Neodiprion lecontei: one gene and its partner. The protein of the gene in region 1 purifies or fractionates together with the protein of each later gene. This does not show direct contact. Links are inferred from orthologs where the notes say so. Each region holds a gene or a part of one and is shown in the gene's direction. Other genes may lie near its edges.

Evidence for each region.
Region 2: the proteins of survival of motor neuron-related-splicing factor 30 (region 1) and splicing factor 3A subunit 3 purify together in Homo sapiens (affinity purification with mass spectrometry; 3 studies listed by BioGRID and IntAct, with this or other methods). This does not show direct contact. The link is inferred for Neodiprion lecontei from reciprocal best matches to the Homo sapiens genes SMNDC1 and SF3A3.

The regions. Positions count from the first base shown.
Region 1 is NC_060261.1:14,159,317-14,168,600, forward strand, and holds the start of survival of motor neuron-related-splicing factor 30, read left to right. Parts: upstream 1-2,800; 5' UTR 2,801-2,947; coding exon 2,948-2,986; intron 2,987-3,263; coding exon 3,264-3,487; intron 3,488-3,721; coding exon 3,722-3,871; intron 3,872-5,171; coding exon 5,172-5,322; intron 5,323-8,560; coding exon 8,561-8,704; 3' UTR 8,705-8,728; exon of another isoform or gene 8,729-9,200; 3' UTR 9,201-9,284. UniProt on the Homo sapiens protein: Involved in spliceosome assembly.
Region 2 is NC_060263.1:30,616,079-30,622,095, forward strand, and holds splicing factor 3A subunit 3, read left to right. Parts: upstream 1-2,643; 5' UTR 2,644-2,738; coding exon 2,739-4,241; 3' UTR 4,242-4,580; downstream 4,581-6,017. Other genes in the region: HEAT repeat-containing protein 5B, read right to left, coding at 1-92, 219-233, 313-526, 603-754, 837-1,073, 1,285-1,569, 1,652-1,767, 1,908-2,070 and 6 more. UniProt on the Homo sapiens protein: Component of the 17S U2 SnRNP complex of the spliceosome, a large ribonucleoprotein complex that removes introns from transcribed pre-mRNAs.

The DNA.
Region 1 (9,284 bases):
TCTTGTGTAGGCCTATTGAGATATTATATGAAAGTAAATATTATACTTATACTATATTAAGTTGAACAAATCAAATACATATCATAGCGTCTAAGATGTTAAATTTTAAGAAAAAAATTCACTAGAGAAGTATTTGGATTATACAACAGATTCCACAAAATTCAAGCCTTCGTTTTCACGCATATAGTAGGTACAAATATTTCACTCTCTCATAGATGTGCCGGCTTCTGGTGTTCCATACTCGGTACATTCTTGAAGAAAGAAATATTCTGCTATTATATATTGCTTATACAGCGTTATCTTGTACTTCTGAAAATTGAAAATCATGAATATTTTGAACGTTCTGTCAAGTATAACAGTTACACGAATATTTTTATGCACATTATTTTTGTCGAGAGACATTTATAAATTCAGAATATTCCATAATTTACACATAATTGTATACAAATTATACAGATGATTGATTGTAGAATCCAGTGACTTCGGCTACTAGGCATTGAGTCAAATGTACCTATATCAAAAACACCTCTACATGAATATACGTGTACATCTCCTAAATATTAATAACTATAATGTTTCAAAGGTACATATTTGAATGTGAAATACACTATTATATATATACATATTATACACATATATATATACAATATATATATCGTATGTAAACTCCTATACACGTACACATCGTATTTGCATCATACTTTCAGAGTAATACTTCATAACATCGGAGTAGGAAGCAATTCCTACATATTTACTTATATTTACTAGTGTTGAAAGGATATGCTATGCGTTGTACATTACATTCATGTAGGTAGGTAAATATTGAAGGTAGGTATTTATTAAACGCATGTAATTAAACCTAAGTAAATAAGTTGACGATAGCGATTTCACGGAACATTTTATATTGCATACCCTGAACGAATGAAGAATCTGGCTGGTTGGTCTGCACTTAGGAATGCGTAGATCAAAACGCGTGCAGCTGGTGGCAATCCAAGTCATAATAAATAAAATTGAAAAACACGCTCGTATACGTGGATCGTGCAAGACATGACGAAGCGTTAGGCAGAATTTAAACCTGGCACGATTATTCCGCATCACTCTGACTCTGATCCGCTATATGTGCAGTAATACTGTGGTTCGCGCTATTGTTGTACATCATTCGGAACATGATTTCTTTGCTCATCAGTGTAGGCAAAGGATAGCAGTATTTTTCTGACATCACAGTATCCTTCAATTAAAATTTTACGTCGTTAGGAAAAAATTTTCGCGTGTGTTAAATTATATGTATCAATCGTATTACCTCCTCTCTGTTTCAGTTGATAATTCTTTACTCTCTGGTTGTTTTCTCACATACAGTCGAATAAGGTTTGCAAAATATACAATACTGATATTTTCGTGGCTGTATCTTTGCGATGGTCGATATTTCTGTAAGATACCTGAATATTTGAGAAATATCGAATCTGCTCTTTAGATCCTCGCACCTGGTGCTGTGACTGAAACCTGCAGGCTAACCATAATGATCGTGCACCTCTAATCAACGTTCAGTCTATCTTTTTTTCATGTTTTATATTACTTGCATGCCACTTGCAAACAAGTTGGATACTACGATAATCCTTATGTGTTAGGGGCCTCGGAAAATTTTTATCCGGCCACCCCGAAAATCGGCTTCCCATAAATAACTGGTTTTAGCTAATCAGATTTATAAGAAAGAGCAAGTTGTACGTCAAGTTTCATGGATTTTAGGCCATTCGTTTGCGAGTAAATGTAATTCGAAACTCGTGCCGCAGTCGGCGAAGCTAATCTCCTGCAAGCTCCTCCTATACATGCAGTATGTTAAAAGTTGCAATACTTCAACACGTTTCCTTCATTTTTTTTAAATTTACACAGTGGTTTAATAATACTCACGATACTTTTTGCGATTTTGTCGAAAATTTTATCATCTTACAACAATTCATTTTTTTTTTACAAGCTCATTAGTTAAATTAATACCCTCGAATAAAAGAAGTTTCTGTGTAGAGACATTATATTTTGGCGTGCGAAAAATAATTTTTTTTTTTTTAACCGACAGATTTATAAGAGTAAACGTATTTTACGGATAATGAATTCCTAAACACGTAGATTTTAATGTTTGACCTTCCTCCACCGAGAATAAACTTTTCTTTGGTAATTATTAATTTATTATTAAGATAATAATTCGCCTAAAATTTGCGAATCTCAGAAATAAGCCGCGAGAACGGCGATGTATGGGTAAAAAAAAAATGGTACAGATTATCACAAGCCGATGTCATGCATTTTTTATTTTTGTTGATAATTTTTTTTAATTTTGCAAGTTCAGCTAATATTAAAAAAAAAAAACATCATATCGGCATGGATATCGGCACCCTTACGAATTTTCAAGTTAGAGGGTGGCAATTTTTTCCCAAATATCAGCATTTTCGTACGTAAATTTCTGCAAATCTCAAAAAGAGTCAACGGGGTCCGTGTACGTTCTAATTTATCAAGTGGAAATTCAAATATACCGCCATTAGTGGCTGCTGATGACGTCATAAGCTCACATCGACCCTTCCTACTTCTTCCTAACCAGCTTTATCAATGGACTCATACAAGTATAGGTATGAACCCGCCGTTAACTTCAAATACCTCAAATCGCAATTACGCTGTACGCAATTCATCCAACACACTGAAATGCATCTGAAATGTAATCGAAGGCATCTGATTGATATTGCGCATGCGCAACGATCACGTGACATGATTCGTCCATTTTGTTTCAATTCCAGCTCGTTCCGCTGTTCACGCTATCAGACTTAAATGCAAATAGAACTGGAATATGGTTCTCCAGCCATCTTGTAACTAACAAGTTATGTCTTTTATCTGTATCGTGGACTAGAAAGGTTTAACAACAGTTGGATCGTTTAATTGGTGATTTGTTAAAACGCTGTACTTCATCATGGATGATTTACAGAATTATAAGCTTCAACTGCAACAGGTTAGTTTCTATTCTCATGGCTAATATCTATGTATATAAAATCATCACTGTTTCTAACCTTACTTCTTATTCCGAATACGCTGAGTTAACCCCAAGAAATAGGCCAACGATATGTTTATAACCTGAAAATATTCAGATAATAATCGGTTTTTCCTTCGTTATTGACCTCGTAGATTACAAACGGATTACAAAACCGTTCTTTCTTACAATCTCGCTCCTTACCTACATACTTATGCTGAATCTGCAATTATATTTATGAATTTTGATAATATTTTAGGTTGAAGCCGCACTGACCACAGACCCAAACAATGAAGAATTGTTGAAACTGAAGATAGACTTAGAGGAAGTCATAGAGTTGACTCATGATCTGGTACGATCGCAGCAACAAGAAAAACGGCAGGCAAATGGAATGGATGCGAAGGATCCGATCCTCCTAGCTGTCTTAGCAAACAAATGGAAAATTGGGGATCAGTGCATGGCTCCGTGGAGCGAAGATGGCAAGTAAGTCACTGATCCAAAGTTTGTTTACTTAGTACTGTATATTGAGTTTTGGAGGACTGTAAGTATCGTCTTACAGTTAGACATGTTTGAAAAATACTCAATGATAAACATGTTATTTTTCATGGAATATATTATTTGACATATTCTCTTCATTACCAATTGACATCTGGATCTTTTTCCGTACCCGATGAAACTTAAAATATATTTCTATAGAAAGAATTGATTACTTTACAGATATTATGAAGCAACAATAGACACAATCAGTGAAGATGGTACAGTCAACATTACTTTCAATGAATACAAAAATACCGATGTCACTATGCTTGACCAACTTAAGTCTGTTGCTAAAAGGCCAGCTTCGGACTGGGCAGATCAAAAGTCGAAGTGAGTAACACATTCTGCTACTATCTTACAATTTTTAAACATTTAAAATGGCATTGTTTCCTAAAGATGTAACTTTATAATTTATCCATCAAGTTTTAACCAGTAATACTTATTCTTAGTTATGAATACAAGCCAATACGGATGGATATGTTGTCTCATAGTTAGATAATCATATTATTACTCTAATATTTTACATACTTTTGTTGAATGCATTTGTGATACCTAATACGCACTGATACCCAACTTTTATCCCATTCCTCTTGAATCCTGATAAAAATTGCTGTAACAATACTCCGGACATCCACAATCCCCAATGTCAATTACCCCATTGTTGGTCATTTGATGTGCTGTGCTATTAACCTTTTTTACTGGAGCCCAGAAGAAGGTAAAATTATTCAAGACTATAGCCCTTTATTACTGATTATTGTACATAGTTACGATCGGTCTATCACGATTTGAAAACTTGGTAAATGTTTGGTTTTAATCTCTCATAATTGATATGTGCAATTTTTCTGTTAGTTCATCTTGATTACCAGTCCAAGCATAATCTAACGAATATTTCACCTATATTGAAATTATTGTTATCAAAGCTATAGACTTATTATAATAGTTGAATTATGATTACTCTATAATAAACTAAGCAGGGAATCTTATTAGGATGCTATAAAAAAATACTTATTAAATATCAGAGCAATATGAGTATGTTTGATTGTTTACCCAAAGAGGCAACAAAATGTTACCTTACATGAATTGGAATTACATGCTAATAACTATTATATTAATCACTGCAGTAATAGTGTTTATTTGCAGAAGTTAAGACCGAAGTATAAAATTCTCATACAAAGATCAGTTTTGAAACTCAATCAAGATTTATTTGAAACATGCACAATTAATGCTAGCATGAGTGAAAAATGCAGTTAATACATGGGATTGTTTTATAACTTGGTTCAATGAGTATGTTAAAAATTGCTGAATAAGTTCCTGCCCGATTCAATATCCTGCTGACTCCCACCATCTTCGATTTCCTTTTTCAATCAATACGTGATCTTGGAAAAAAAATGTGGGAATAGTGACAACCGGTGGAGACAGCATTTCAACTGGACTCATTTCTAGTTCAGGGATTGTTCTGTTATATTTGGTTTTTAAAAATGAACTCTGCCCCAAATGTGCAAAAAGAATCAAATGCTCTTGTTCGCTATTCAATTAAAATCAATATGAATATACGTATTTAGAGCATCCTAATAAGTATCTCTTCTTTTTAGTAAATGTCTACGTGGATGATAGGTTTTTTATTTTGCAGGAAGATGCAAGCAGCAGCGATCGCTGGTTCAGATCCTAACAAGCAACGCGAGTATTTGAAGAAGAAAAAGCAAAAGAAGCTTCAAAGGTTCAAGGAGCTTGAGGAGGAGCGTGAATCGGAGAAAAACAAGTGGCTGGCTTTCACAACTAAGGTACGAATAATGAATATGCTATAACTATGTTGTTCAAGTAAGTAGATTTGTTGGTTAAAAATTCAGACTTTTGTTAATTTTATCACAATATAGTTGTGTCGAGTATGTATCAAATAACTGTATGTATATTGCTACACAGATATCTTTAAAAATACCAAAATGGAAAATACTGGAATTATAAAAAAAATCCTACAATACAAAAATAATAAATATTTATCGTGATCAAGAAATGGCAATATTGAATTGACTACTACAAAAAAATTCAGTTTTAGTGACTTTGTACAAAATAGTCTTCTACACAAAATTGGCCATCGTAGATTGCAATCGAACGGATCTCCCCGATTTTCAAATATTGTGTAGCGAGTCGAAGTGAAGCATCGACATCTGTAACTGCCTCTCCTCGTAATTCAAGCATTTTTAATTTTACGATTTTTTAAGAGATCTTCGTACCATTGTGAACATTAAAATTTGATATAAATTGAATACGTGTGTATTGCCTAATGAAATTACCTAAATAGTATCGATTTTCGACCAATCAGTCTCTTTAATTACCAATGAAACAAAAAGTTTGCGCACCAGGGAATGCATTCTTTCTGTTTCATTTGATTCCTGCAACCACTGTTCAGACATTAATTGTTATTGTATTGACAAGTTGTCAAACACTTTTATAGACCCTCATTACATTCGTATTTGTGCTACTGTCAGGGTGGCCACACACCTGGAAAATCTGAAAAACCTGAAAATATCAGGGAATTTTTATTTTAATCATGGAAAAACCTGAAAATATCAGTTTTCTATCATAGGTATTAGAAATGATTGTTTGAAGTGACAAATTTACTTTTTTACGTCGAGAAAAAAACTTGGCTTAAATTGACATTTTTGTACATTATATTTTTCTCCAATTCGAATTGAATCCGAACTGAATACAGAGTTAATAACCTGCACGATTTAGGTTCTAGTAACTTACTAGAAGTGGAAAAATGTCAGGGAAAACTGGGTATTAGATCTTAGAAAACGTGGAAATATCATGGAATTTTTTTCTCAAAAATTTGTGGCCAGCCTGACTAGTGCTGGAATTCAAGCCCAATTGTATTGTCACCACTAATCACACTACGGATATGTATGAAATCTTTTTCGTGTATCAGTTTTGCATTATCGCTGTATTCTCTCTAGACATGTAAAAATTAATTTTCACACACAATTTGCTGCCACGCGACGTGAAAAGCACCGCTACGCTTATCTTCACAGAAATTATTGCTTGTGAAGAAATATCGTCAGTCTGCTTTCGCACACGTAGCGTATTTCAATATTTCCGGACATACAAATTATTAAACTTCGTACCATATAATATACTACAATATTCAATACGGTTAAAGTTGATATTAACTACTTACAATTGAACCTCGATTAAACGCGGGCGCAGAATTTATCCCTTCCGGGCTCAATTTCACGAGGCGAACCTTTGTTTACTTACATACACTTTTTTTCTCGTTCCGTGTGCACGAGCGCGTTTCAATGCGATGCAAAGTGTCGACAACCGCCCGTGCTTCACTCCGCACGCCCCAAAAGGTAAACAAACCAGCCGAACTGTTCGTTTATTATACGTGGTTACTTTCAATTTGTACCTCCTCGAGCTTCTCGCCCACGTTCAATTACGTACTTACTTCAGCTATTTGTCATCAAGAGTGTTTTAAAAATCTTTTTTAAGATAAGGAGATTTCCTAATCGCTTTCGACGTTGTCGTATATATCTCCCAAGTATCGAAGTCCACGTATCTTAGACGCAAAACAGGGCTTAACAGCCCAAGTTTACACGCAATTCGAAACAAAAACATTCCAATACATTTTCATTCGACGTAGAACCAAAGAAACCTAAGAATTTACTATTACGATTTTGTAGAAGCCATGCCATTTCTTTATTTTTGCGTCTAAGGAAAACGGATTGGAGTGCTTTTATTCACAATTGCGTATAGAATAGGGCTGTTAAGCCCTTTTTCGCGTTTGAGATACGTGGACTTTAATATCTGGAGATATATACGTCATCGTCAAAATCGACCAGGACACCTCCATAAGAGAACGTGTACATACCTTCAACTATGAAATTTCATCACGCTGAAGTTTGTAACGTTATTGCATTGATGCATTTTCAGAAATAGTCGTTAGTTGACAACTTTAGGATTACCTGAAATTTAGTACACCGTTAATATAACATCAAAAAATTCAGTTTTGTAAATTCAACTTATTCACTTATTCTAAATGTCCAAAATAGTAATTTTTGTTTCAAACTTTCGATGGGGTATCGTTACTAACTTCAGCCCCGTAATTTCAGGTAAATTCCAAGATACGGTTAATATGAAAGGTAATTTTATTTGCATATGTTTTGACCTAGTTTGTTGTCATTGTTGGCATTTATTTTCCAACTTTTAGCAATTATCTCAAGTTAGTCACGAACGACGTCACAAACATTCTCATATTTTCACTAGCCATGTCACCTTGAATAAGATTGCTTTCATCTTATCGTTAAAAAGTCGGGGTCTTACATGAATATTCTTGATAAGTGTGGCCATCGACCCTTATACCCATGATATTGAAAAGTTTGAAATTTTTGTATTTTTTAACATCTAATTTTTACAACTTACACATTTTTACTATCTTTTAGAATTAGAAAACAAAGTTCTACGTTACGCGTAACTATCACGAATATTCACACATAACACCGATTTGTTCAATTAAAAGATGACCCCGGAATCGTGATCGAGACGACGTGGTAACGAAAATATGTGAATAGTTGTAAAGACCTCTGTGATCTACTTGTGATGATTCTAAATATCGGATAATAATCGCCACACTAAGTCACAACAGATATGAATGAAAAGTATTTCTCTATCGCCCGTGTCTTCTTGAAAATTGCTACAAATTTCAGAGTTGCCCCTTGAAAATTGCATAGCAAACGTGTTTCGAATCGTTCGTGCTTCTCCGCTTGTCTATGAACCGCGCAGTCTCGTAATTCCCGAACAATCGAGGTACAACTTCAGTAATAATTAAGCAGGCACAACTAACGTCACCAACGGATGTCAATACTCTACACTTCAGCATTTATTTTCTCACTGTAAATGCTTACTTCTATATTATTGAATTTCTAAACATATATACGTACCTTGCATTATTGGAGAAGAATAGTAATTTTTCTTAAGATGCAAATTAATCATTTCTTCGAACTCTTTGGTTTTATTTTACAGTCCAGTAAGAAGGGGGTTGTGAAGAAGAGTATATTTGCGACACCGGAAAATGTCAATGGTAGGGTAGGCATTGGAACTTGTGGAGTCAGTGGTCGTGAAATGACCAAGTTCAGCAATGGAGAAAAATGGCGCCGAGGTACATAAGTCTGTACATACGAATCACTATGTGTAAGAAAAAGTTTATACTTTTGAACTAATATTAAATGTAGTTAAGGCAAATCTCGATCAGATGTAAACTGTTCTACAAGTGTCGTGTAATAGAAGTGACTACAGCGTTTAAAAATACGGTTTAATCTTTTTATTTTTAAAAATGTTGATCGCGAAATTAATTTAAAACGCGGTTACTTGAGTTATATCGCTTGTTTCTGCAATTTTTAGAAATGACTCTACTACTGATAATAATTGTTCAGATATGCTATTCACCTCTGCTGTGATGAGCATGCGTAGCACTGGGACTTTTGGGAAAGTTTCGGTCTCAGATATCCTCGTTCTGCTAGTGTTAGAATTTTTTTATCCAGCGTTGTTACATCAATCGTTTTTGTACATAAATTCTAAGTAGGCAATAATAAACGCTGCGAAAAGCCTTCTTTTTAGTCTCCGTACAATTTATTCTTGTTTTTCTGTCCTTTCTCTTTGTCAGATTGGAATTTAATAGGTGAATATAAACTGATGCCTGATTTCTGTCATTCATATACTACTATTTTCTGATGAACTCCTGCCAGTC
Region 2 (6,017 bases), on another chromosome or scaffold:
AGTGATTTGGAATTTGGATCCATGGCGCAAGGCATCACCTTCCAGTAGATAATTTATCAGAATAGGCACCAACAGAGTAAGCATTTGAATACCTGAAAATTGAAAAAAGTTCCCAATTATATTTTTTTTTATCCAATGACATGATACCATGTAGTTGGTTGGTGTGGATATTATTGAAAATAACTGATAGAACGAACACCCTGGAAATCGTCACCTACCTTGCATAAGATCTCCTGGTTTGCATGCAAAATTTAATTTATCAATACAAAGAACCATAATTGTGAAAGCAGTTACAATTTATTATCTACTCACGATTAGCAGGTTCAGCTAATGATATGAGTGCTTCAATCGTTGCTATGCTTTCTAATGTAAGAGTTAGCTGAGTTTCGTTTGATACTTGTTTGCTCGATTCACTGTACAGATATTCCACCAACCTTGGTGCGAGAGCGTGGATGTAGGGAGTACTGACACTGCGTTCATAGTGCATGAAGATTGTTCTCAATGTTTGTATGCACTTTAATTTAACCTTTAAGAAAGATACATTTTCTCATTCAATGATAAGGTACTAGGACGACCGGGCAAGAACGAAAGTTCGTACTCACCAGAGTATTTTCTGATTGAAGACACTGCCGAAAATGATTGATGCAAGGGTACTGTAAGTTCGGCGCACTCACAACCTCAGGGGATGCGTGGAGGACAAACACTGCAATCCCTAACATCATCGCAACTTCATCCATTTTCGTTTCATCACAACCTGCAATCCAATCATTATGAATGTACGTCGTAATGAGGTACGTACATGCAGTAACGATGATTTTAGATTTAATATGGCTTACCTGTTTTTGCAAGATCGACTATTTTAGCAAGAGCACTCTGAAGCAAAGTTTTCCACTGTTGTTCACTTCTTGCATCAGTTGCGTATTTATTGGTCATAAGACTCTTGAGACAATGCAGAGCCCCGTGCACAGGTGCTCCAGGTCCGACCCCAGAATTATCGTTATCTGTGCGAATCGCAGTCTCTCTAATTACCCCAGTTGTTAAATATAACAACGTGGGTAGAATCGCAATGGCACCTGTGAGACAATGCAGTTTAAGTATTCATCGCGTACATGTAAAACTTAAAATAAACCGAACTAAAGCTTGATAGCAAAATATGCACCTTATCAGCATGATTTAAAATATGTTCTTACGAACAAGTATTAACTTAACGTGATTGTTGAGAATTCTTTTTATTATAAATTATCGATGATATACATCGACACATCAAGTAATTTCAGGACCAACCTTGTGGAGAACAAAGCCTTGGAAGACCTTCCATCACATTCAGAGTGGCAGCAATGAGCCTGCCACATTCCTCCGATGCTGTATATCCCCGATGAGACAACACCGTTGTCGCACCACCTGGACTGGGATTCAACGCTGGTATTTGTCGTACGAGTAAGCACAAGCAAACTTCTAGTACAGCAAAAACTAAAGATTGTCCTGGAATAAGGTCACCAGTTTCCTGCCCTTCCCCCAGTTCATCGACCTCTGTGGTGTCTTTAGACTCTTGATTTGCAGGAACAAGTTCTGAAAGTGAACGAATTCTATGCGTTAGTAATAAAATAAATAATGTATTGAATCATTGATAAAAACGAGTTTCATGAACAACCTTTGAGTTTCGATTTTTTCCGATCTGCAAGGTCTTCTTGAGCAGCACGCATTACTTGTTTCAGTACTTCCATTACCATCATTTGAATGGTATAGCTTTCTCGCGTCAGTAGCAACCTGTATAGTTAGAATAAGATGAATAAAATTTTGTTGACCAGCGAAAGGCAACGTAGGATAATGAAAAATGAAATTAAAAATTGTTGATACATCGAATAAAATTAGCAATTTTCAGATTTTGTATTGGCTCTGTAACTTACCTGTGAAGAACATTGCAAAGCTCAATAGGAAGGGACCGATCAACCATAAGTACGTTGCGTGCCCATATAGAATCAAGTAAGGTGTAGAGAGCACTCAGACATGTCTCTACACTTTGGGTAGACTCCGAAGATCGAGGACTGCACAAAGCTTCCATGCATATACCTTGAAGCGAAATATGGAAGAATGTTCAATGCAATAATTTGTAAAATGAGATTTTTCATTGTGAGGTATGCAGAAAAAATCTTACCAAACAATAAATGGAATCGTTCGACATTAGATTCTGTATTGGTAGAGTCATTATTATTATTACGGCCAAGTTTATTCTTCGTATTAGTATCGACATTGGCAGGTTCTGGAGATTCGAAGCCTCTAGCATTCAGCCACAGTGTTGCTGCATGAAGTATTGGAGCCCAAGACTCAAGGTAATACGGACGAGCTGATTCCATTGTATCAGTTGTGTAAAAAGCTCCTCCATCGTGAGGAAGCTGACTTGAAAATTCTGAAACAATTAAGTTGCACCCTTGGTATCTTCTACTTTTTCTTTTTTCTGCATCAAAAGACTCTATAATCCACTTTTGAAAATAAAATGAAAAAGGAAACCTGAATGTATTCAATATTCAATCATCGGTTGAAAACTACAATACCGTCAGAGTCTGACGTACAGCCTGAGTGATTGACTTGGTCTCATTGTTAGCCACGGCGCTACGATCTGGAGCCGTATGAGCCAAGTTTTGTATTTTGCAAATGGCGGACACAGTAATCAATAGTACGTTTACGTGTGAAGTAGTACAGAGTACATTCGAGTGCACATTAGTGAAGAAAAAAATAGGATGGAAACAATTTTAGAGCAACAGCGTCGCTATCATGAAGAACGGGAGCGTCTCATGGACGCAATGGTCAAAGAAATGTTGCACAAGAAGCCGGGACATAGAGAAACGATAAATTCAGAACATCGGCTGAAAATGCTATTAGACCAACACATGGACAGCACAGCGCATTTGCAGGATCTCTACGAGGATAACGATGGCCAACGAAAGGACGAGGTCCAGGCTTTGTCGGGACCGAACGAGTTCTCCGAATTTTATTCGCGACTCAAGTCCATCAAGGAATTCTATCGGCGGCATCCGAACGAGATAAGCGTCCCGATGTCGGTAGAGTTCGAGGAGTTGGCTAAAATGCGAGAAAATCCAACAGAGGAACTCGCAAATCTCGTCGAATTTACCGACGAAGAGGGCTACGGGAAATACCTCGATCTTCACGAGTGCTACGAAAAGTATATAAACCTGAAAGGTATTGAAAAGGTCGATTACATAACCTATCTGTCGACTTTCGATCATTTATTTGACATTCCAAGAGAGCGTAAGAACGCAGAATATCGCAGATACGTCGAGGCGCTCCTGGAGTACTTGACCGAATATCTGACTAGGGTTCGTCCGCTCCTTGATCTCAATGCTGAAATCGAAACAGCCAATAGAGAATTCGTGGTACACTGGGAAAACAGCAGCTTTCCAGGGTGGCCAAAGGAGACCGGAAGTGCTCTAACTAACGTTGGGGCGCACTTAGAGCTCTCCGCCTTTTCCTCTTGGGAAGAACTCGCCTCGCTAGGTCTGGACAGATTAAAATCAGCCTTACTGGCGCTGGGTCTTAAGTGCGGTGGAACTTTGGAAGAGAGAGCGCAGAGGTTGTTTAGCACTAAGGGACAAGCCTCTCTAGATCCGAGTCTGCTGACCAAAAACAAACCGGGAAAACCAGGCAAAGGAAGAGACGTGGAAAAGCAGAAGGAGATCGCAATGCTCGAGGCTCAGGTGTATAGGCTTGCCGAGCTGGTATCTAGTCAGCGTGTCGCCACTAAAGAAAATGTTCAAAGAAAACAGGCGAGAACGGAGGGTGAGAGAGGTGATTCTGATGCAGATGCTAGTGCCAGCGAGTCGGAAGAAGAAGATGACAACGAAGTTCCGTATAATCCGAAAAATCTACCCCTCGGTTGGGATGGCAAGCCTATACCATACTGGTTGTACAAACTTCACGGTCTCAACATCAGCTACAATTGCGAAATTTGCGGAAACTTTACGTACAAGGGACCCAAAGCCTTCCAAAGGCATTTTGCAGAGTGGAGACACGCTCACGGTATGAGATGTTTGGGGATACCAAATACAGCGCATTTTGCCAACGTCACACAGATCGAGGACGCTCTAGCTCTGTGGGAAAAGCTCAAAGCACAAAAACAGTCGGAACGTTGGCAGCCGGAACAAGAAGAGGAGTTTGAAGACTCTCTAGGAAATGTTGTGAATCGGAAAACTTACGAGGATTTGAAACGCCAGGGTCTACTTTGAATTTGAACGCAATTAATGTAATAATTTGTACAGCATGTATCGCGCAGGCTTCATTTGTTTCATTCCATATTCTTGTATGCATGATTCTGTTATACTAATCAAACACATGTTTAAACACGAAGCTAAAGAAGAGATTCGTGTCTAGAATTAATAATTTTATAAATTCTAATGTGTATTTAAATATATTATCCTCAAACGAACGAGGTATAATATAGATTAAATATTATGCTGTAACAAATTCAACTACATATTCACCAATTCTCAAATGGATTTTGTGACCATATTTGTAAGAAAAGATGAACTATAAAGGACCTAATAAAAATGTATTTATAAATGAAATTCCGCAAATATCTAGCAGTTGTATTTCCAAAATTCATTTTTTATATGAGTGGGATAACTTACCAGGTGGTAGGGAGAGTAATGCATGATCGCGCAGGGCAGCTAACCAATGTTGACTCAGACTTAATAACTCTGGCTGAACTAAACTGAGTAAACTTTCATTCTGGAACTCAAATTCGCCAAAGCCTTCTTCTTCGTTTGCGGCAGTTGTATGAGCCTTATTTCTTGATGACGTCTCTACATTTCCAGGTGCTGAACCATCATTAATCATTGCCACCACATACACCTACAACATTGAATCAGAACACACGCGATGAATTTCTCACATGGCTTATTGCAATTATTGAATGATGTGGTGAATCATCTGTAACATGGAATTACGTATTTACCTCAGCCCAAGCCTTTAATATGGCCAGTTTTTCTAACGTAGAAAGGCTTTCATTGTATAATTGTTGATGAGAATGTCCGCCTCTTAATTTTTCCAACGACGATACAAGCAGTTGATGTACTCGGCGTAAATCATTGAGATCCCTTGCAACACCACTACCAATCCATGCGCTACAAGCTTCACAAGCTGCAGCGGTGACGTGAGATGCTGTTTCTGTAGAAAACGCTGGTCTCAAGGCAGCACCAACCTTTGTGATAAGATTATCGTTATTTGATCATGGGAATATAGACTGAGTAGTTTTTCGTGTTTTAAATTTTAGCAAAATAATCACCTGTGCTTGGAATTGTTCCAGAAGTAAGTGTCCAGGAAATTCTGGTTCCGGAACTTTGGCAAATTTATCAATTATTTCTTGTAAGGTCTTGAGACCTTCTAATCGCAAAGGATCACAATCACTGGTCGCAGCCATAAACGCCATACGCACTAGATCTGATAAGTGTAGTACTAGAAAATCTCCTGAAAGGTGAAAATTAAATTGTCAAATCACAAAATATGGGCCATAAGTATCCCAATCATTTTGATTGTGAAAGAAGAACAGGAAAGAAAAATCCAGGCGTGGTACATACCTCTTCCTCTGGTGAGCTGCATTTCCTTAGCTAAGGCCAGATCAAAGTGTGCCTGCTTGTTGACAAGACAAGCAGTGATAATCCGTCGTACACTCTGAGCAGCGAAAACTCTGGTCGGCCAACGTGGTGAGACAGCTGGACGTTGCCGTGTTGACTCTTCTGCGTGAAATTCGGCCTGATCATCATCACCTTCTGCTTCACCACCTTCATCATCCGCTGTACTATCTTCAGTTAGAACAGCAGTGACTTCTTCTGTTGTCGTACTCGACTCTAAAAATATGTTTCGTTACGTACATCTCTGAACACTATTTATTTCATTACTAATTTCCATGAGCTCGCTAATTGTAACAAGGAGTCGAAAATCATCACTCCTTACCTGAAGCTACCGTTAAAACATCTTTGCAAAGGGATAACCACTGTGATAGG